Linked DNA regions of Lepisosteus oculatus. The protein of the gene in region 1 interacts with the protein of each later gene in a pairwise test. Links are inferred from orthologs where the notes say so. Each region holds a gene or a part of one and is shown in the gene's direction. Other genes may lie near its edges.

Region 1 (7,377 bases):
AATGTTGTTCTTGTCATTCAGGTAACTGCCACTACTTTTCATGATATAAGCCCCTGGTAGAATTTGGTTTTGTGGGAAAATACTGTTTATGTCCAGACTGTGGTGAAATTGGATTCCAATATTTTGAACAAAAGGAAAATAGAAAAAAATGTCATTCCTGAGGTGCACAGCAGTTACAGAACAGGGATGCTGTTTGTCTTGTGTGTAAACATCCTTGCCAGGGCACAGTATTTATAATTTACTGCACTAGGATCTTTCGGGAATTGTAAAGAAAAGGGCGTTGTCACATGCCTAGTGAACAAGTGCACCAGACTAATCTGTCTATGCAGGAATGGAAAATAAAGAAAGATGGGACAAACGTATTGTCTGAGTAAGTGCAAAGATTGCACAGTGTTTTTTGACACTTTTGTCTTTGTTCTTTCAGAAAACAGTTGTGTTGACAAACCATTTGAGGTGCTTTTAGGAAAAGAAGAGGGAAGATTCTTTCTTTTCCTTTTTTGCTCATCTTTAAAATGGTTTTCAATGACTGTAATACTTGTTTGAAGCAAGCCTGTGGCCAGGTGTGTTTAATGTGTAAATAAGGTGTTTTTACGAAAGCAGGATTTTGTTTCAGAAATCTAAGTCTTAAATGTCATGTCAATTAGAGATGTCACAATGTTTAGAGGGATTTTTTGTTTCATCATGCATACATTACATGTATGTTACTCAGTATTACTGAGGAAGAATTAAATATAAATATGTTGAAATATATATAAAAGAAATGGGATCTGTTTCTAGTCCCTACATATTAAAAAGAAAAAGAAACAGTAAGTCTTTATAAATCATTATTTATTGATTTCTGCTGTAATACAAGATAAGCCACTCTGTATCCTTGGGATTTAGGGTACGATGTATGAACTCAGCATTTTTAAAAGAAAAAACTTGTTTTGTAGCGTTCTAATCTGTTGTGATATTGTGACATCTCTAATGCTTTTTTGATGAGCATCTGATGGTGTCCGTTCTTACTGTCATGTTTTATAAACTAGACTGTAGTTTACAAAGGAAATGTAATACAATGTCTGTAATAAATTACCGACCTGCAAAGTTGTAGTTTGCAAAAAAAGTATTTTCTGTTAACTGATTTGTAAATGATTGTTTCTTGCTACAATAAATGATGCCATTGTCTAGGTTTTACTAAAACTCATCTTAAGTCTTTTCTTCTGTGGAGTAAGCATTCATTGAAAATGCATGCAGTTTTCCTAACTGGCATTACATGGTTTTAACATAAAGGTGTTTTTGGTAATTTTACATCCATCACAAGGCCTCTTTATCCAAATTTTGACAAGTTCAGTACTACATTGTAGAGTTTCAGAATTATTTTCCTGTCTTTGTGAGGCTTCTCATTTATTTTCTATATTGAAGAAAACATTCAATTATTCTATTTCTTAACTTTACATCATGTCAGCCACATGCAATACAGCCTTTTAATTTGCACAAACTCTGACAGAATTTAAAAGGTTTTCTGTTACCTGTGTATTTTTCTCTTCAGATATCACTGCTATAAAACATTTCCTCAATTCTCACAGTGTTAGTATAGGATCTTAAGAGTGGTTTAATGGTCAGGATTGATGTTAGCAGCAGGTTTTGGGTTGGGTCAAAAATTACCCACTTACTAAGCAGCAATATGCTGTTTGGATTCTCTTTTGTTATGTGTAAAGTGTTATTAAAAAGGGTCTATCTGGCCTTCAGTGATGAACCACAGTGCTAAAATACAGACAGAATTACCTACTATTAATTGGCATAAGTACCATATACACATATTGTACTGTATCTAATTAAGGCCTTACTGCAAGCTATTAGGGACATCCCGAGAAAGATAAAATGTTTTATTTGAAAGAAAATAAAAAAATAGTTTGACTGAAGCATCCAAAACGTTCCAACTCGAGTAAGGTTAACGAATGGACTGAAAACAGTATAAAGCAAGACGTTATTGCCAATATTTTATTGTGTTCGGGTTGTGTATAATAAAATCGTACAAATTAGATTGGGAAAAGTAGACCTCTCAGCTCATCTTTTTGGGTGTAAGATTTTGGTTTCATGACAACCGCACTTCACTGTAACCTGACAAACTCTTCAAACAGGCTCAGCGCAGCTCCTACGCGGTAAAATGTCTCCTGGACACGCACACTTGGCACACTTTAAAACCTGTTGTTCTATCAATTTGCTAGTTAGCAATACATAACACAAACGAATAAGTTGGGTATCATTGTTTCTGCCGTTTGTAGGGGGGGTGGTTCACGTTGATACTAAGGGATGGGGTGTCCTACATCGGGAGTGTTTTGTAATGTTCTGCGAGGTTCAAACGATGAAAAAACACCGGCGTCTCCAAAGAAAGCCAGTTGGTGATGAACGCTCTACAGAGTACAGCCAGTTCTCGTTCAACTTTGCCGTCGACAGCAGAGTAGTTTATCGCCATACGTACAGTACGCGTACATTGGAATTCTTAATCGCACTGATCTCTCGGGACGCATACAGTACAACGGACAGCACCACACAATGTAGACAACAGGAACAATAAATATGTAGTAGACCAAACAAAATGGTAGACTATGTAAAAAGTGTGTAGCGCAGATGTGTATTAAGGCACTGCAGTTAGCTGTTGAGAATGCATACTTGAGTCAAGTGGTCCATGATTTAACAGTGTGGTATCGCTTGCCAGAAAGGTAGGGGGGAGAACAGGTTGTGGCCTGGATGGTTGGGATCCTGTGAATGATGGTGTGGATCTCGTCGATTGATGGTAAATCACATCCTATAATCCTCTGTCCCATTACCACAACCTTTTGTAGTGCATCTCTGTCATGCATGGTAGTATTGTTGTACCACACAGTGATGCCGCGGTTAAGCACCGCAGAAAGTGCAAGCGCTGTGCCTTTTTCAGATTGGCTATTGTGAGTCTCTTAGTCATCTGGGATGACGTGAGGAGTGGCTTTCACAAAGATCCCAGCGCAGGTGCAGGGACGATTATATACCACACTCGCTCGCAGCACTATTTTAACGTGTGACCTATGACCTGTAAATCCCGTCATTGGTTATCTGATGACATATTTGAGCCATTAGAAGATGACTGGAAATATTTTAAGTGTTTTCCGATAATGATTTCTCCGACTGCATGGCGTCGGTTTACCATAAGGTGACGCACAAGCAAATATTGAATATAGCGCGTATGACTGATGGTAAAGGGATACAAAATTATCGGATTATTATGAAAGTTATAAAGGCGGTAACTAATTTGTTTTTTTTTACTGGTGACTGGTGACTGGTGTTATAACTCATAATGATTGAATTTCCCACAAGAAACCAATTATCTGTGAGAAGTTTTATTTCCAGCGAACTTCTGTACCTTCTTTCTTGACCACATAACTTGACAACCTTTGCAGGTGATATTTGTTTAATTAGAGTCCGCACCTCCAATGATAATTTGTTCAAAACTGTATTGAAACTGGAGTCTTGTTATAACCTGCTCCACAGATGAGAACTGCTTTTCTTGTCTCCAAAAGCCCAACGCCGAAAATGCAACGTAAAATGTAGCCGTGTGTGTATATGATGAGTGTAAGTGTCTCCGTTTTAATTTTTGTCTTGAAACCCTAGTTTTGGGTTCTTATTAAATGTGGGAACTCTCAGTCTTTGTGTTGCCTATTTGTTGTTGTAGGTCGCCCTCCGATGGAAAAAATAATAAGCGCATCCTCTCCCTATCATTGTTCTTGGGATGGAAACAATACTACAGGAAGTACTATCGGTCGGGCTGGCATTAAAAGAACAGTGAAAAGTCGGTCATTATTTGATACTTCAAAATTTGATCAGAAAAACCTGAATGGATTTGTCTTTAAATCTTTTTACTTTTGAAGGGGACGGGATATAAAGTTTTCTAATAGATTGAAAGGCAGCAATAAACGGAATACCACAAAAGCGTGACTATTTTTTATAGTTTATTTTTTCTAGAATCGTAATGGTTTTCAAGAATCGTTTTGCTCAGGGTGTTTGATCCTAAATCTGTTTTGGAAGGCTATTTCATAAAGCTAAATTATTCAATTATCAATGCCATTTTAATGCTGTATGTTTAGATATCGTACGCCGTTTATTAACTATAGCTAAAAAAATATGATTTCACATACAGCATGAGTAATAATAAAAATACCTAATTCAAGTTTTCAATATTTCAATTAAATGTTGCAGGATATATTTCAGCTTTTCATTTGTCCTATCAAAATTAATAATATTTTCATTTAATGTATTATAACAGACTTTTTTCCACTGTGTCGCCCACTTGTAAAACTTCAACTCCCAGAATACCTCCGAAGGTCTTCCAGGTCAGAGTTTAAAGTTCAATCCCTGGACTTGAGCAGCAGCGGTATTACGGAGCTTCACAGTCCACAGGCCTGCCTGATAGGTAAATAGCTGTCAAGTCCATCAAAAAAGAACAAACAAACCGCTGTACTGTACTGTTGATGTACAATAATCGAACCGGACAGCCAGTAAAATGGTGACAGAATAAGAGCTGAGCTGTTGACTTTTCTATTAATCTTGGATTTCGAGAGAAGAGGGCTATGTTTGTGCAGGAGGAGAAGATTTTTGCAGGGAAGGTGCTGAAAATCCATATTTGCACCATGGAGGGGGCAGAGTGGTTGGAAGAGGTAACCGAGGACACCACCATTGAAAAACTCAAGGAAAAGTGCTTGAAACACGTATGTCTTCCTGTTGTTTCTTATGTTATTTGAATGTAATTAAACGCAGATCGTCAGGACAGCAGTAGCCAGGACGTTATCAGGACAGTGACTGAATTTCCCGGTAGGCCTGTTAGAACTGTCATACTCCGGTATTTATAGAAGAGCGCTTGTCTAGGCTATTTATAATTTAATTTACGCGTCGACCTAACAGGGTAATTTTTTTCCCCCCAAAATTGTCATAGCTCCTCTTCCTTCTCGTAATGTTTGCAAGCTGATCTGTTTTCTTTAAATGTAACGCTTCTTGCCCATATCATTTTCAACTTGATAGGTTTTAGGTGTCTTGTTGCTTGTTTTATTTATATTTGCACATTGCCGTTGTCCTAGCCACTAGTATCATCAGCCGGTTAACATTACCGCCTCTTAACTGCCTCAACGACGAATAAAAACAGAGCGAAACGATTTTTTGCATGTTGTATTTTCAGTATACTCTATATGAAATCTTAATAGAATAGTATTTTCCCAGTTGGTGTAATAATTCTTGATTTGATTTGTTGTCGTTTTCCTCCATTTCATTCTTAGCTAGAAAGAATGTATTTTTGTTTTACTAATATTGGACTTTTTGTGTGTATTCTGTGTAGATGTAACTTCATTTTAATCGTTTTGCTAATTTCAACAAAAGATGAACCAGAAGACACAAGTATAGTTAAGGTTTGGAGGTGCTTTTAAAACCAATAACAGGAGAGTTGTGGGAGTATGGAACATGCTTCCCAGCCATGTTGTTGAAGTCAATATCCTGGTTTCTTTCAAGAAACAGCTTGTCGAGATCCTTGAAGTAATTAATAAACTGCCAGCTATGGAGCTGATTGGCCAAATAGCCTCATCTTATCTGTGACCTTACGATCTTAACATTTAGATTTTGCAATGGTTCTGTTGTGGGGAGGTGGTATGCATTGTTGCCTCACTGCACTTGGGCCCTGGATTCACTTCTGGATCTGGGGTGCTGTGTGTATGGAGTTTGTATGTTCTACCTGTGTGCCTTTCGTTCCGCAGTCCAAAATCGTACTGCTCGGTTAATAGGGTTCTGGGAAAACTGTCCCTGGTGCGAGTGTGTGTCTTGTGTGTGTGCGCCCTGTGATGGACTGGCGTCCTGTTGAGGATGTGCCCTGCCTTGCTCTTGTTGCTGACCTGCATAGGCTCAGGTTCCCCTGCAACCCTGAATTGGATGAAGCAGTTAGAAAGTAGATGGATGTGTGGATTTCTGTTGTGACTAATTTCTGTATATGAAAGTTGTTTTAAACTTGTCAGAAGCAAGAGAGTTACACATTTCTTTTTTTCTTCTTTGCTCTAGTATGTCCATGGGAGCCTAGAAGACCCTAAGACTGTGACTCATCACAAACTGATCCATGCTGCTTCAGAAAGAGTCCTAGCAGACACTAAAACTGTAGTAGAGGAGAATATTAAAGATAAAGGTAAGTAGTGTTGAGAGGAAGAGGAGTTACAGGTTAAAGTTTGTGGGAGTCTTATCCAGTTTATCCAGCCATGCTGTTGAAGCATATATCTTGGCTTCTTTCAAGAAATCACCAGAATGGGGTCCTTGGATCATTTAAATATTTACTACCAATTGCCTAGATGGGCTGAAAACCATTTGTATCTCATAAAGATATTTCATTATTCATCCTTTTTTTATTGTGATTAATTTCAATGATTATTTTGGCCTCATGTACAATATGTAATAATGAAATGTCTTGAGGCTGACACATTCAGAACTAAAAATGAGGAAGGTTTTAATGTTATATTTAGTATCTTACTAAGGTTGACAAACTCTCATTTAAGGTTTTGGAATTGAATACCACATCAATTAGCTACTGCTTCCGAATGACCTCCTGTTATTTGTAAGCAGTCTTATGGTCTTTCTTATGTTAGATAGTGGTACCATAATTCTGACTGGTAATATAATGCATAGTTTTGTATTGTACGTTGGTGTACTCATTAAGTTGTTTTTCACTTGCAGAAAAATGGGCTGGATGACTTTTTAAAGCAGTTATGTAGAAAGGGCTTGACAAACACCCAAGTGTAAAATAGTTTTCTTTTATTTTCCTTTTGTTGGATCACTGTTCTTGGAATGTTCTGAAAACATCTGTTGGGGGAAAAAAAAAAAGAACTAATTTTGAAAAATTGTTATAGAGTGATTGCACCAAAAGAGACTGCAATGGTACAAAATTACATCTGAGGAGAATTTTCATCTGGTACCTTCTGTTATGGACCATTCTGTTTCCTCTCCTAGATGTCTTACTGTTAATAAAAAAGAGACCACCTCCTCCCCCACCGAAGATGACTGAAGTGTCTACAGAAGAAAAGGTAAAATATTTTAAATACCTAGTGAGAGGCCAACAAAATATTTTAATTTATAATAGCACAAATATTCCAGAATGAGCTGGGTAGAGGATGCATAGGAGGCTACCAAACACGCTCTTCTTTCAGTGCTGGAATATATGCTAATCCGAACATGCCTATTCACTTTTTTGTTACAACTGGAGAGAGTTCACAGGGGTGTCAAATGCTAACAACCTCACACCAATACCTTGTAAAAGTTCACTCTGGCACCTTAAGTCAAAGAGGGAATTCAAACAAGAAACCAGTTTCATGTTCAAGTTGTATGTTTAATTTTTTATTA
Region 2 (6,989 bases), on another chromosome or scaffold:
AATACTTTATTCCTTATCTATTAATCATGTCTGTGGGACTACTAAAGAGTTTATTAGTGAACCCTTTTTCACTAATAATTATAATAAAAGTTTGCTGGTGATGCCATTGTTGCCATTGGTGATGTCATTGTCATGTTATGGCATGCTACAGAAGTGATACCGTAAGAAAAGTCACAAACAAGAAGAAGCCCTTTGCCCCATTTAACTAATTCAGTGGTAAGTAGCTAATTGATCTGATTTTCTCATAGAGCCGCTTCTGGAAGGAAGCCAGAGTTTTAGCTTTATGTTTAAAGAACAGGTGGAAATAGCTTGTTCCACACTCCCACTGCCCTTCGCGTATGGATGTGCCTCCTGTTCTCAATGGAGATTAACTGTCCACTTGTGACCCTTGTGTTTCACTGTTGATATTCAGGTTGCTGGTATTTCTTCTCCTTTTTCTCGTTGTTATTGAAAGTATGATTCCTGAAGTTTATTTATATTACAGTAAATGCTCATTGGAATGCAAGCAAAATTATTTTCTTACTGGTAAAGCTCTAATTGGAGATGAAAATTGGCATAGTTATGTACGAAATATACTTTGTAGGAAATAGTGCAAATTGTACTGAAGTATATATTGCTTTCTTCGTAAAGTAATGCTCAACAAGGTAACATGCATGAAATCTGTGCATGGCATTGTTTCTACATACTCGTGCAACTAAAAACCTGCAGTTGCTAAAACAAACAAAGGGACTGTCTTCTATACCCACTAGTGGCAGATTACTTGATTTCATTTCTTTATGATTGACATGAAAAAACAATGGATAAAAGATATCAACAATGGATACATTCATGGCAGAAACAAAACAGATAACTGAATCTCATAAATCAAACAGAAATCTTGGAATCGGAACTGGAATCTTGAAACCCTTTTAGGCATAGCTGATTCAATTTTTGTTTTTTGATCGATGTCCTTAATTTTATACTTTCTCATTTCATGTTCCTTTTATACTTTCTCAGTACAGTAAATTATAGCTCGATTATTCACAAAGAATAAGCATTATATAAATTATCTTACAATCTCACATTATGAAATAATCATACACAACATAACGTCAAATAAGCATTTCCGAATTATCCTATTTAGAATTATTTGAAGATATAAAACAGTAGATTGAAGTGACAAACAGCTATGAAAGCTTTTCCTCTCCATGCCTTAAAAATGGTTCTCAAAGAAACTCTGGTCAGTCATGGGTAAAATGAAGTCGGAGTGCTCTATCTAAAAATAAAGACAGTGAGAAATTTTTATCCAGAGATCAAAATGTCCTTAATGGATTTTTAGTATATGGCACTGTGAAGTACTCTGAGGATGATGTTTTTGATGTAGCAGAAATTATAATACTTTGTTGCAGTGCACATTTTGTAAAGTGCACTTTATGTTTGCTGATAATATGATATTCAAATTACCTTCAGCAGTGTCATGTGAATACAGAGTTATGGTTGTTACAGAAAACAGCTGAATAACAATTTTAACCTCTGTATTATATGTGCATCTCCTGTGCATAAATATCTCACCCGCTATGCATCCACTTTGAGTTTCTTCCTCTCACCCCATCTTCACCCTTTTAGCAGCTCCCTAGCTCTATCCTCTGGAATAGAGATGGCCGTCCTGTTATGCTTGTCCTCATAGGTAGGCTGCCATCAAAAGAAACTTTTAATACATTTCTCCTCTAAGTCACATTAATTTGGATTTGGCCAATCTATTGAACAAAGCATTTGCAAGACAGATTTATTATATTCCTAATTGCAAAACACTGCCAACACATTTGCTTGAGAGTGTTAACTCCCCTTTGTATCATTTATGAGGAACAGAACTGATATTCTCTTGTTCAAAGATGTTTCTTGATGTTGGTCTTTGCAATAATCCTTCAAAAGATGGAGGCCAAAGCAATATTCCAATCAGCGCTTTTCTTGCCTATTGTGGACACAATCTGTTCTGGCCACCTTGTCGCCATGGATACCAGACCTCGTCACATTTACGGAGTTGTGCTCTCTTGTTCAATGTTTCTTATTGTCTTGTTGAGATAGTCATGACGTTGGTTGTGTGCAGTCGGTTTCTAAACCTTGTCTGCATCTTAAAAGAAAGGACGTAGTGAGGTGCTATGACTCCACGAGGAGCTTCATTATTCCCTTGAGCAAACTGCACTTCACCATGCATGTACTCTCTGGACTATGTAATGGATGAGGAGCATAGAACTAAGAGCAAATGAAAGACTAGGCCTCAAATTTTCAAAGCCTGATAAAGTCCTTGAAGTTGATAACCAATCCTCAAGGACATTGACAAGGACAACCCAGCAGACGACATCAGAACAGACATGGAAACATGACAAGACACAGATGGAAACTAGGTGGAAGGACATTTAAAATAGAGAAATGAAGGCAGAGGAATATGGAACAAGCTGTCCAGCCATGTTGTTTAAGCCGATACCCTGGCTTCCGTCAAGAAATGGCTTGTTGAGTTCTTCAGATCAACTGGCCACTAACTACATCTTGAAACCTTAGAAAAATAAAATAAAAGGGGGCTTTTCTAGCAATTAAAAGAAAAGTGAAACACCATGATGGAGAAATCTCAGGATGACTTCCATCAGAGACAGAGATAAAACAGGACCCCTGGCAGAGACTGTTTGGGCTAACAGGCTGAGGAAACAGTCCTCTTTGCTCATTTTATCATAAGTGTATTTTTTTTGTCAAAATTGTTTTTAACCTGAGATGGACTGGCATCCCATCCATCCCACTGTACCTTGCGGAGCCCATTGCTTGCTGGGATTAGCTATTAGAACTATTAGAAAATGGATAGATGGATGATTTAAAGCCCTTCATCTTAAAATGCCCAAGTGAAACTATGAGAAAAGTGTTATACTTTCATTTCCATTTTCTTTACCGTGATATTTATAAAAAATATTAGGGTAAAGGTGGCTGAGTATGAGCTTGCTGTTTTTAAATAGTGTGTTTTGTTTTCAAGCTTTAAAATTGGGAATTAATTCAATTAATTGGGAAGATTGACTGATCATAACATAGATTAAACAAAGTGATGGCAAAGCATAGAAGAAAACTAACTTCAGACCTAAAACTGGGATAAGCACTCAATTTTCAGCAGAACAAAGATGCATAATATAAGAACACTTGAGTAGCTTAAGATTTAAGAAATCAAAAGTCCTTCAGTAGCTCAGCCAAAGTCCTGACTTGAATCCTCTTCAGAATCTGTGGAAATACTTGAAAGCTGCTGTCAGTAGGCGATCACCAAGCTACCTGAGACAGCCTCAGCAAATAAATCTGCCAAGTAGAATGGGCAAAGACTTTACCAAGCCACTGTGCAAACTTGGTAGATATTTACCAAAAAAAAAACCTTCTGCTGTGGTTGGTGCAAAAGTTACTTCTACGAAATATTTGGTTCGCGGGTCTGAATATGTAAGGCGTAAAGTAACATTTTAGTTTATTGTCTTTGTATTTCACTGACATTTATAGCAACCGATCTTACACTAGGAAGTATTGAGCTTGAGCATTCAGGTTTTAAATAAAATATTAAGTTAAAAAAACACGTTTGACTCATTTTATGATTTTATCAAATTTGACCCCATAGACATGGTATGAATACTTTATGGTATGGTATGAATACTAGGGCGCTGGATATCTGTTATCAGGTAATTTTCCACAAAGTTAAAAAAATTACAACACGAGAGACATCTACTGGTACAAATAGGTAGTATCACAGTGGCAAGTCAAATGATTATTTAGAGATATATCTAAATACATGTAAAGATTATTTTAAACAATGAATGGCATATCTCTCATGAGATATCTCTAAATGATCAATTGGCTAGCCATATATCGCTTCTATCTAGTGTGTCTACCGGTGGAGTGATCCCTCACATATCGCAATCGGCGTAGTTTGTAGTTGAGTGAAGACTACATCTCCCAGTATCTCATGTGCGTGAGAAATGGGTGTCTGACGTTACGTTCCTCTGCGTTCCAATTTCCGGTCGGTAAAGACTGGCTGTGTGTGTTGTGTTTGTATTGTGCAGGAAGCGAGAGGTATGTAGGCATACTTTTTATTTAAAAAAATAAAAGTGTAGACTCAGTTATGCGGAATTGCTTTGCTAAATAGCTGTTCTTCGCAACAAAACCCCGCGATCAGTAACTACTCGCTTGTAGTGTCACTGTGACAAATGTTTGGTAGCTAAAGTTGTCTGACTGAAGACAGTGTTATGAGTTTACCGTCAAAAGAGAGAACAGCAGAAGTGGAAATGAAAGCAATAGTTAAAACAAGTGGGTGGTTTAAGTTCATGTTCACCGCGCTTCTTTAAGGAAAGATTGAATAGAAAGTGTTGCACATGTTAGTTTGCGATAATTACTGGAATGGAAAAAAAATAAAGGTGTTATTTCTGTTAAAATTACTAATGACGCAGAATCGATTAATGTTTATACTGCTCTGTGGCTGTTTACTTTCCTTAAGTAAACTCGAAGAGGCTTCATATCCAAGTAACACTTTGGAACATCGCCTTAGCTGATGATCCAGGGAGGTCGTCCTGTGGTTGTTTGTCTTACTAAACTTGTTTAAATGCTTTTTGTTTTATTGTTGCCATCTTGAAAAACTGAAGCCTCTGTATGGGAGCACAGAATGTGTAACGTGGCAATAATGAAATAAATGAGCAATGTGGTGGAAAACACCTAATATTTGTGCGTTACAACTGGGTCGACAGATTCGAAAAAAGGCTTAGATACTGCTGATTCATTTCTAGTTTTCAGGGATGTTACCGGTGTAGTTCAGCAAAACGCAGTTTTGCCCAAGTTTTATGAAATTAACTGCGTTCGCTGCATTTGCATTTCAGTGCCGAGGATAGACTAATTTCCAAGTGTATGCAGGTGTTTAGTGAAAACACCTTATTCATCTTGAACCTTTGAGCTACTGTGCAGTTTTCACATGCAGAGGAGGGTTCAAAATTCAGAAGCAGTTTTCAAGAAATGTGTGACTCACATACGAGACCCCCGTTCCTCTGGGTCCCTCTATTTCAGAGCTCCTGGCAAGATCTATAGATGTGTTTCGGTCTTAATCTTTCTAGACAGCTACTTGACAAGACGCTTTTAATGTCTGTAAAATGCTTTGAGAAGGTGACCTCTCAAACCCTTTGCCTCACCGCTGTTTTTTTCCAGCGTGATTTGATGAGGCATTCAAATGTTTTTCGAGATTGCAAAAAAGTTTCGGAAATGCTGGGAAACTTGAATGAATATTTAAGTGTTAGTTCCTTTCTCCGCACTGAAAGTAGACTGATCTTTGCGGGGGGGGGGGGGGGGGTTCTTGTATTTAACCTCGTATGCCACCAGGGGTATTCCCATTGCACAGTGCAGTGTGTCCTTTCAGCAAATCACGCCTGGCTCAAAGAAACAAGTTTTAAAGATGGGTTAAGCATTGTGAATGTGAACTGCATCACATGTTATACATTCTGATTGACGAATGTAACTCTAGACTGGGGAGCTGGTGGGCTGGGGTGAAATGACAGCTGGGTTTTAGTGTTACAGTACAAGGAAAGTAGAGGGACAGCTCTCGTTAAAACCGAGTTTGATCGTTCAGAAGGCGATCGGTTTTGGAAATGTAGCTCCAAGGCTGCACAGCAGGGTCATTATCAAAATTCCAGTTTTCCTCATCACTCTGTGTTGTATATTGTGCCTTGGAGCTTGTCAGCCACGGGCATTGATGCTGAGCACACTAACGTGACGTTTTGCTTTTCTGAAGTGTCCCTGTTTGTTTTATGTATTTGCACCTGTGCCACATTAAATCTGCCTGCTACATTTTTCAAATACAAATAAGATGTGAGAGCTCATCTTAGCACCTTTGGGGTTTCACTGCACGTTTAGCCCGAGTATAGCCTGGGGCAATAGGTGTTCACTTGAGTTCTGACTTTACTCGTGCTTTGACTAGATTTCGTTCCCCAGTTGCTATTGTTCAGATTTAGTGGCAAAGTATTTGTAAATCATTTGAAGTACCCAGTACAACCAAATGTACCTAAACCTCCTTTAACAAACTGTCAAAAAAATTAACTGCTCCGGGTTTCCACTTATTTTCTACTTGTGTCTTTTGGTTTTCAATATATGCTAAAGCATCATCATAATAATACACTTTATTTTATATAGCGCCTTTAAAGGTGGCTTCTCAAAGCGTTTTACAGGATGACAATAACAATAAATAAGGAGAATACACAAGATAAAACACAATTACAATATAAAGAGGAGACCGTGGATGGTGGTACTAAGAAAAGCAGAGGGGTGAAGAATGGAACCTGTTCAGTAAAGGCTTTTCTGAAGAAGAGGGTTTTGCGTCTGGATTTGAAGGAGTTTAGAGAAGGTGACTCTCTGATATCCTTGGGGAGAGAGTTCCAGAGCTTGGGGGTATAACAGGAGAAGACCCTGTCGTCCATACAATGTAGATGGGCTTGGGGGACAGTAAGGAGGGCAGACATACAATTCCTCATAATATAATATTCCTTTGTTACATGGTTGTATTTTTGCTATCGGCAGTCTGTTTATTTCAGGCTTTTGTATGTAGGCAGGCAGCCACTTGTTGAAATGAGTTAAAATTGGAAGTGAATAGAAACTTTGAAATGTGTTTACCAGGAGCTTTACATCCGTTTAAGTTTCGAAATTATCGCCATCAGCTGCTTTTCAGGTCTTTCTGTTTTCGCGCACCTTTTTTTCTTCTGTGCTGTATGACACCTCTGGCCTCTGCGTGTTGAGGCAGGAGCATGCCGAGGTGGTGACTCTGGGCCTGTGTGTGAGCCGGGGGGGAGCCTGCGATCATGGCTGATGGAGAAGGCGACGAGGAAGTGATTCACCTGGCCAGTTTCCACAGACATCGCGGAGAAGGTGGGTCTTCTCCCACACACTCCTCAGTGCAGAAACTCCACTTCAGTCTGATGTTTTATTGGGAGCACCCACAGTAGCATCGGAAATTGTAACGT
Region 3 (7,273 bases), on another chromosome or scaffold:
CTAAATAGCAATAAGGAACAACAACAACAAAAAAGAAGAGTGCATTAGTAAAATTCATTAATTGTACCAGAACACATGCACACATTATTCTACATGGTGCTTAGAAACTAGGTGAAAGTGTACTGAAAACAGAAGACAAGAAACAGCTGGAAGGAGATCCTCGGATGGGCTAGACTCAAACAGTGTTCCAACTTTGCACTCAATTCTACAGTTCTGTCCTCTTAACATGAGGTTATTTTCTGAACACTGTTTTTAGGGTGTGATACAAATGGAATCACGCGACGAAAGGGCTTGTTTCTACTATTTCCTTGATGTTTGTCTTTTCCGTAAATTGAAGTCTTGCTGTTTTCATACCCGTTCTAAAAATGACCGTTGTAATGCTGCGTGGTGACAGGCGGAACACCACTAGAGGGCGCAGTGGACACGATTTAGAAAAGTTCATTTTGGAGAAGAAAAATTGAGTTTTGTTCTGCTTTTAAACAATTAAATGAGAAACGTCCTGGACGTTTGACGTTACGTCTGTGTGGAGTATATGTGCAAAGATCTGCAGCCACGGTACCAGAGGCGACGGTCTTCCAAAATCACATAGACTGCTTTGCTAGAATTATTCATCACCAGTTAATTTAATGTTTCAGTCTGCGACAGCCTGTAAAAAAACTTCTTTATGACGGTGGCTGCAGTGATAGTGGCAGACACTACGTCACCTTATTTCAAGGGAGAAACATTTATTGTCCGTGGGACGTTATTGCATTTGGTCAAGTGCTTTAACTTGTTTGAAAAAAAGCTTCTTTTTGCGAACCATGTCTGTTTACAAAGGAAAAAAAGGGAACTGAAAAAGACAGGTGCTATCTTTAACGGGGATATTAATACAATTATTTTTTAAACCATTAAGCCATTAAACCCTTAAGAAAGCGCAGTCCTGGGTTCGTTTCCATTCTGGAGATGTGTTAGTGTACCTGTTTTTCACTGAGTTTGTACTGTATTGTATTGTACTGTGTGTCTCATGGAGAGCAAGTTGGGGTGTGCGAAAAGACAAATTCCTAATACAATAAATTTATATGGCCAATAAAGTGATCTTATTTTGAGTGACTTTGTTACATAATCACTAAATCCCCTCTTCAGTGAAAGAGTTTATTGGACACAGGTGATGAGCTGATTGTGTGCCTCAGATGAACTCAGCAGCTGTGGAGTCAAGACCTCTTCAGACATGAATCTACGTGGAGCACAATGTCTGATGGATGCCTGTGAGTGTGGCACAGTAGTTGATGGCAACCTGACTGCAAGGCGCTATATTGATCAAGTCCTGGGTCCTCACGTGCTGCCTTTCCTGCTAGCTCATCCCAAAGTGACAGCACTTCCAGCAGAACATATTCCCACGCTCCTCGTGATAATGGCTTTCCTGACCATAATGTGACCGTTGTGCTCCAGAGCCCTTCTGCCAACTTGAGCCCCACTGGCAGTTTGCAGGATGATGACAGAGATGACATTGGGCGTCTAGGGCAGAGAGACCAAAGTACACGCTTGTTCAGGCTCTAGGACAGGAATGGGACAGGATTCCACAAGACAACATCTGCAGCCTGTTGCAGTGTATGTGCCACACATCAGAAGTGGTTACATACTCTACTAGACTACAACATGCACAATAGGACCCTCCTGGTGTTCAGTCCTGCTGATGCCCAGTATTAACCAGCAGAATGAATTTGCCTGTCTTGTCTCTTCAATAAAATGTTAGTACAGCTGCTACAAGAAACATTATCAGTTAACTGACACTTTCTGAATTTGTTGCGACTCTTTGGATGCTGTGTATACACTTATATATATATATATTTTTAAAATTATTTAATGTCTGGGGTTTGTCATTTGCTTGGTAATTGTGAATTTGTTCCCGTTACATGTCATGTATTTCTTGATATAATTCCAGTTTCACTCCCTCACTGTGGTTTAAATGTTTCCCGTAATAGGATGACTCATGTTCCTGGCAGTTTTCTTAAAATTTCTTAATTCAAAACTGCTAGTGGGTTTGATACATCACCCATCTGAATCTCATCCTAACCAGAATTAGATTTTTGCTTGGTGTGAGACAGAATTGAATTCAATCTAGATATCTGGACTACCTCGTCTGCTTCTCTATTGTAAAAAAAAAACCACATGCCGTCCAATTCAACACTTTCTTCTATATCTAGTTAATTTGCTTTATTCTTTATACTGTTGAGCCAATGCTCTACATGATGTTAGTGCAAAATGCATCAAACCTTAATGATCCCAATCCCAGATGTACCGTATGACGTCAAAGAGATTTTCACAATGGATAGTCAAATTAACAGATATTTCAAGTGATACATTGTAGGTCTATATAGAATACAGTTACAGTCGTATTCAATAGAATACATAGTATTGGCACTAACCTTATCTAACAGTGTCCAGTGCTAATCGTTAATGTGTATCAAATTAAATTTCTTAAAGTATGCTTTTTTGATTATAATATATTTTATAAAGATACTTAATAACCAGTCATCCCAGAAAATACAGTTTTAAATTGAATTTACTAGCCCAAGTTAAAATATAGGGTGTACATGAGCATCTATAGAATCATCTATAGAATTAAAAGAAAGACGTTTTCACACCCTCTATTTTAGATTAGTTTTAGATTGATTTAACAAGAAACCTTGGCAGGATGAAGAAGTACAGTATTTAATTAACGTGAAAGAAATGTTATTGTCAATAACTATTGACATTATTCTTATACATATTATGTATAACACTTTATTACAGTGTATTACAGTGCATTTGTATTGTTGTAACCCATTCTTGTGACTGTGGATTCTGTTACAATCTAATATAGATACAGATACCCCCTTCTGCACAAATCTTTGGCTTTGCAGCAACATAGACGGTATATGACAGACAAAGCACCATTGCAGAAATTATTCAGATAATCCCACACTTGTCAAAATCTGCATTTTGCAAATAATGGGGCACTTATTTCAGGGAACTGCTCTGAGATTCCTAGCAGGACTACACCTCTTTTGTTTTGTGCTACATTTACCGATATTTTCCCAGGTGCAAATTAACTCGACTCCTGGATTTCTTGATCATAATTTTTAGGGTTTAGGGTCTTCTGTAACTAGACTCTCTGAAACTATACCATGGGCAATTAGGTCACGATAAATTCTTTAGGTGAAATGTACAAAAGCCGTCTTCAAAATACAAAGAGTTTCGCTCTGTCATGTTTGAAATAGTAAGCCCTGACCCCAAGCTTCTCTCCATGTCTGTGTGTCTCATGGAAAGCAAGCTGGGGTATGCGAAAAGATGAATTCGTAATGCAAGAAATTGTATATGGCTAATAAAGTGATCTTATAAAAAACAGCCCTGAAAGGGGTCCGTTTATGAACATACGAACAAATGTGAAAATGTTGGCCGTAGATGTCCATGATCACCGTGCACCACCTTGTGGAAAAATTACTTAAACTCGTTACTTCTTTGATGTATTTTTAGAATCGATCCTACAATCGCTGGACACAAGATTGTACGATAGTCTTCACTACACACCGCTGTGCAAATTATAGATTATTATAAATTTGCCTGTAAAGTCTTGACACCAATATTCCATAACAATTCGATCAATATTTTAATCCATGCGCTCATGTATTATGAAACATTAAAATAACCGAACCTTTTTTTAAGAATCGTCATCTATTGTACCCCAGAAAGGAACTGTACCACACGATAGTGCTTATACGACTGTGTGGAATGTTACTGTTAGGTCTACTGGAGAATTCGTGAGCCCATTACATACAGTATACAATAATATCTGTCCCTGTGCATTGTGGTATTATTGCTTTAGTAAAACTGATTTAAAAATGGTTCTTATTTTGTATATTTGATTATGTGGGTCGTGTGCTCTTATCACATCATTTTATTATCATGTTATTCATATTTTATCGTTCACGTGTACATTTTTGCATGTACATGTTGGATTAACGGCGCCACCTAAATTAATAATTATAACTGTGCATTTTAGATAATTTTCCAGAATTTCACACTATGACCTTGATTTGCCTAAAGAGAATATTTAGCGAGCCGGTATCGACATCTCCTAAATTGCATAATTGAGAATAGTTTGTGAAGTTCTGTTATCGTAACCAAGTTAAAAAGCAGCAACTTGTTACGCTTAGTCAAAAAAAAAAGAGCCGAAGTCTTTACACCCTCCTCCTCTCTTCTGTGTTTGGCCGACCGTCGGATGTGACGCGCAGTGTTTTCCTGTTAGCAGTTTTATTCTGGTTCAAGCCAGTCGGAGGAGGAGGTAAGAGTGGAAAATGGCCGACGGTGTGGATCACATCGACATCTACGCGGATGTTGGCGAGGAGTTTAATCAGGTGAGCATGCATTATTGTTATCCTCTCGGTGCGTAATGCAGAATTGCAATTTCGTTTGGAAGACCGTAAAAAGGACAGCCGTGTTTGGGTTTGTTTAATGCACCTTTATAGAAAGGATTTCTATTTTTGTTCAGAGAAAGACCTCGAGGGAGTGTTTTTTTTTTAGATTAAAGGGTTATATAAGCGAAGGGCCCAGCACCCTGGATTTTCGGTGCCCTTAACGAGCCGGGGGAGGTGAGCCCAGTCTTTCGGCGCTGCGCCCCGCCGGAGTTTCCCGGAGGAGCAGAGAGAACGAGCGGCGGCGGCGGCGGGCGGCGCGGCGCGTGGGAGCGCTTCCATTGTTTGTGTCGCGGGCTGAGGCCTTGCTCGTGAGCCGCGCGGGGACGTGCACGTCCTCGGGGAGCAAATGTCCGGGCTTAGAAATACCCCCCCCTTCCCGCCTCGCCGGAGTCTGATCACCGTTCATTTAAAGCATTAAGTATTCACAGGGCTAGAATTAAAACGGTGCGTGTAGCTGACCTTTTGTTTTTGTTTGCATGCTTTGAAGCTGTAAGCGATCCCAGTGTAATATGACCCCTCAGACGTAACGTGATGTTGACGAAATTTAAAATATAGCACTCTTGCGACGTAAACACCACGTGCACCGTTTTTATTAATTGCGATAATTTTTGGCGCCGCTGACATTTTCGTGCTTCCTTTTGTTTAGTTCTGAGGGTGATGTTTTCAGCGTGTAATACTTTCATGGACACATTAAGATGTGCTCAAAATTATTTTGGCGTTTCTTCGGTTGTTCGCACGTTTCGGAATGCATGATACTCAATTTGCATGTTCAACATTTATTAAGTATTTTTGTGCAACGTATAAAGTAGACCCAAATCTTATTTTTGCTGAGACACATTTTCGTCTTAACTTTCATTAAGCGTTTGCAGCGATCGCACTGAGAATCTTGTTGCATAGATTTGTTCTGTGAGCTGTAAATTAAATTGGGGGTCTTTCTTAAATACTTGGAACGGAGTTGGGGGGGGGGGGCGTTTTCTGTCTGCTAAGAGCTCGTTTGAAGCGTCTCATTACAGCCTTTAACTTGAAATCGTGACTTTCCTTACTGGGTTGGCGTGCTTTTCAAAATGCTATTGTTCTCGGTACCAGAAAATCAAGGTAGTTTTTGTACGGGTTTCAATTGCAGACCTGCTGTCGTTGAAGTCATCTTAAAACTTCTCACAGTTAGTGGTTTAGGTTATGTAGGCATCAGCCCAGGCCGTTTCTGAAAAGAATTTTCATGCACACTGTCCAGGAGTGATCGGTCTCAAAGGACTGTGTACTGTGGGGATTTCTGATTGCGTCCCGCGCCCTCAGATTTAACATCTAAGGTTTGTGTTTGTTCGTTGTGAGATCCCAATTGCGCCGGGAGCTGAATCCCCGAAGTTACTGTACGAAGAGTTCCGAGAGTGTATAATTTCAGCCGGGCGCATCTGGGTGAATAATTGTGCTGGGAAAAGACATTTTTAAAATGTGCGGTACGTCGTGATGGTTTGCGCGCCTGCGGCTTCTAAAGCGTGAAAGCGATTGAAGTGCGTTCCCACCTCGGTGGCGGTGATTTAGGTCTCGGAGTGCAGAGCTCATTCTTAGCAGTGTGTTGCGTTTTGGTACTGCAGTACTTCCGTGTGTTATCGAGTTGTGCTGCCTCCAATTTTATTGGGGTGTGGCGGATGGAGAGTATTCGTTCTTTTGGGGGGTGGGGGGGACTGAATAATACACTGATACACTTACGCAGTGTCCAGTACTCATCAGATTATCACAAGTCAAAACTTTGTTCAGGGTGCTTTATAGTTAAGCATTTATTGCATTCCGCCGCGATTGGAATTAGATCGGGCAGCGGGGTTAGTTTCCCTCTGTCCGTCCATCTTCAGAAAGGTGGTGAGAGCTGTGGCAGACTGGACTCTTGGAAGCGAAGGTCACAAGGTGGAGACCGAGCTCTGGGGGGTTTGCAGGTCTATAGTAGGGTGCACACGTATGGGCGACTTCGTCGCCGAGCTCCGGGGGGGGGAGATGCAACCTCCACATTGTAAACACCCCCCCACCCCTACCCCAGACTCGATCCCAAGGCTGATCAGAGACTAAATTGTCCTTTCACTTGTTTATTCTTTCCTTCCTTGGGGGTGGTACTCCTTCCTTAGTCTTTGTGCAGACTTTGGCCTCACCTGCACTGAGGTTTGTAAACACTGCCCTCTCAGCCCTGGGAAGCTGGAGAGCTTCTGTATATTCACAGCTCAGCCCTCCTGGTTATGGCAGATATTCGGCGAACAGGGAAGCACAATGTTACAACGGGCTGGACCTGGGGGTCATGAGTGAGGCGGGTGTTTTTAAGCAGGGCTTTTTGACAGGGTTAATGTCGTTGCCACACTATAGAAACTCATGCCTTCTAAACATCTTACTTTTGCAGCTAACAATATTCTGGGGGACTAGGACTCGACGCTGCTGGTCCTTAGTAAAATCCGATGAAGGCTCAGCATTTGCGTTGGCATATTCACACTCGAGATGACAGGTGGCCTGGCGCGGTAATCCTAAGGCTGGACATCCGGCCTGATTTTCAGCAAACTGCTTTTTTGGAAGGGGTGTATCGCATGAAGACAGAAATACTGTAGGTCAGAATAACGTGCTGGGAAAGGACATACCATGTCCACAGGGGACATTACTATCCTTCCGGTGGTCTTTATTAGTACTGCATTTCATATAAGACAGTGACTGCTTCAAACTGGACGTGCGTACTTTGGTAGGCCTCAGTTCACTCTGGTTTACTGTCAGTATTTCAGAAATCTGAAAAGTCACTTGTGAAGAGGCCTGTTCAAACATTTGGTGTCGAACGTGGGTTCTTTTAGACATGCCCTGCCCAGTGCTGA

The links.
Region 2: the proteins of ubac1 (region 1) and rnf216 interact in binary tests that used the Homo sapiens proteins (3 or more experiments, as listed by UniProt). The link is inferred for Lepisosteus oculatus from reciprocal best matches to the Homo sapiens genes UBAC1 and RNF216.
Region 3: the proteins of ubac1 (region 1) and cpsf6 interact in a two-hybrid assay, tested with the Homo sapiens proteins (2 studies listed by BioGRID and IntAct). The link is inferred for Lepisosteus oculatus from reciprocal best matches to the Homo sapiens genes UBAC1 and CPSF6.

Annotation. Positions count from the first base shown.
Region 1 is NC_090719.1:5,135,340-5,142,716, reverse strand, and holds the start of ubac1 (ubiquitin-associated domain-containing protein 1), read left to right. Parts: upstream 1-4,355; 5' UTR 4,356-4,583; coding exon 4,584-4,721; intron 4,722-6,051; coding exon 6,052-6,172; intron 6,173-6,987; coding exon 6,988-7,061; intron 7,062-7,377.
Region 2 is NC_090714.1:10,450,645-10,457,633, forward strand, and holds the start of rnf216 (E3 ubiquitin-protein ligase RNF216), read left to right. Parts: upstream 1-3,982; 5' UTR 3,983-4,068; intron 4,069-4,096; exon of another isoform or gene 4,097-4,302; intron 4,303-6,765; 5' UTR 6,766-6,827; coding exon 6,828-6,894; intron 6,895-6,989.
Region 3 is NC_090702.1:23,479,116-23,486,388, reverse strand, and holds the start of cpsf6 (cleavage and polyadenylation specificity factor subunit 6), read left to right. Parts: upstream 1-4,266; 5' UTR 4,267-4,316; coding exon 4,317-4,376; intron 4,377-7,273. UniProt on the Homo sapiens protein: Component of the cleavage factor Im (CFIm) complex that functions as an activator of the pre-mRNA 3'-end cleavage and polyadenylation processing required for the maturation of pre-mRNA into functional mRNAs.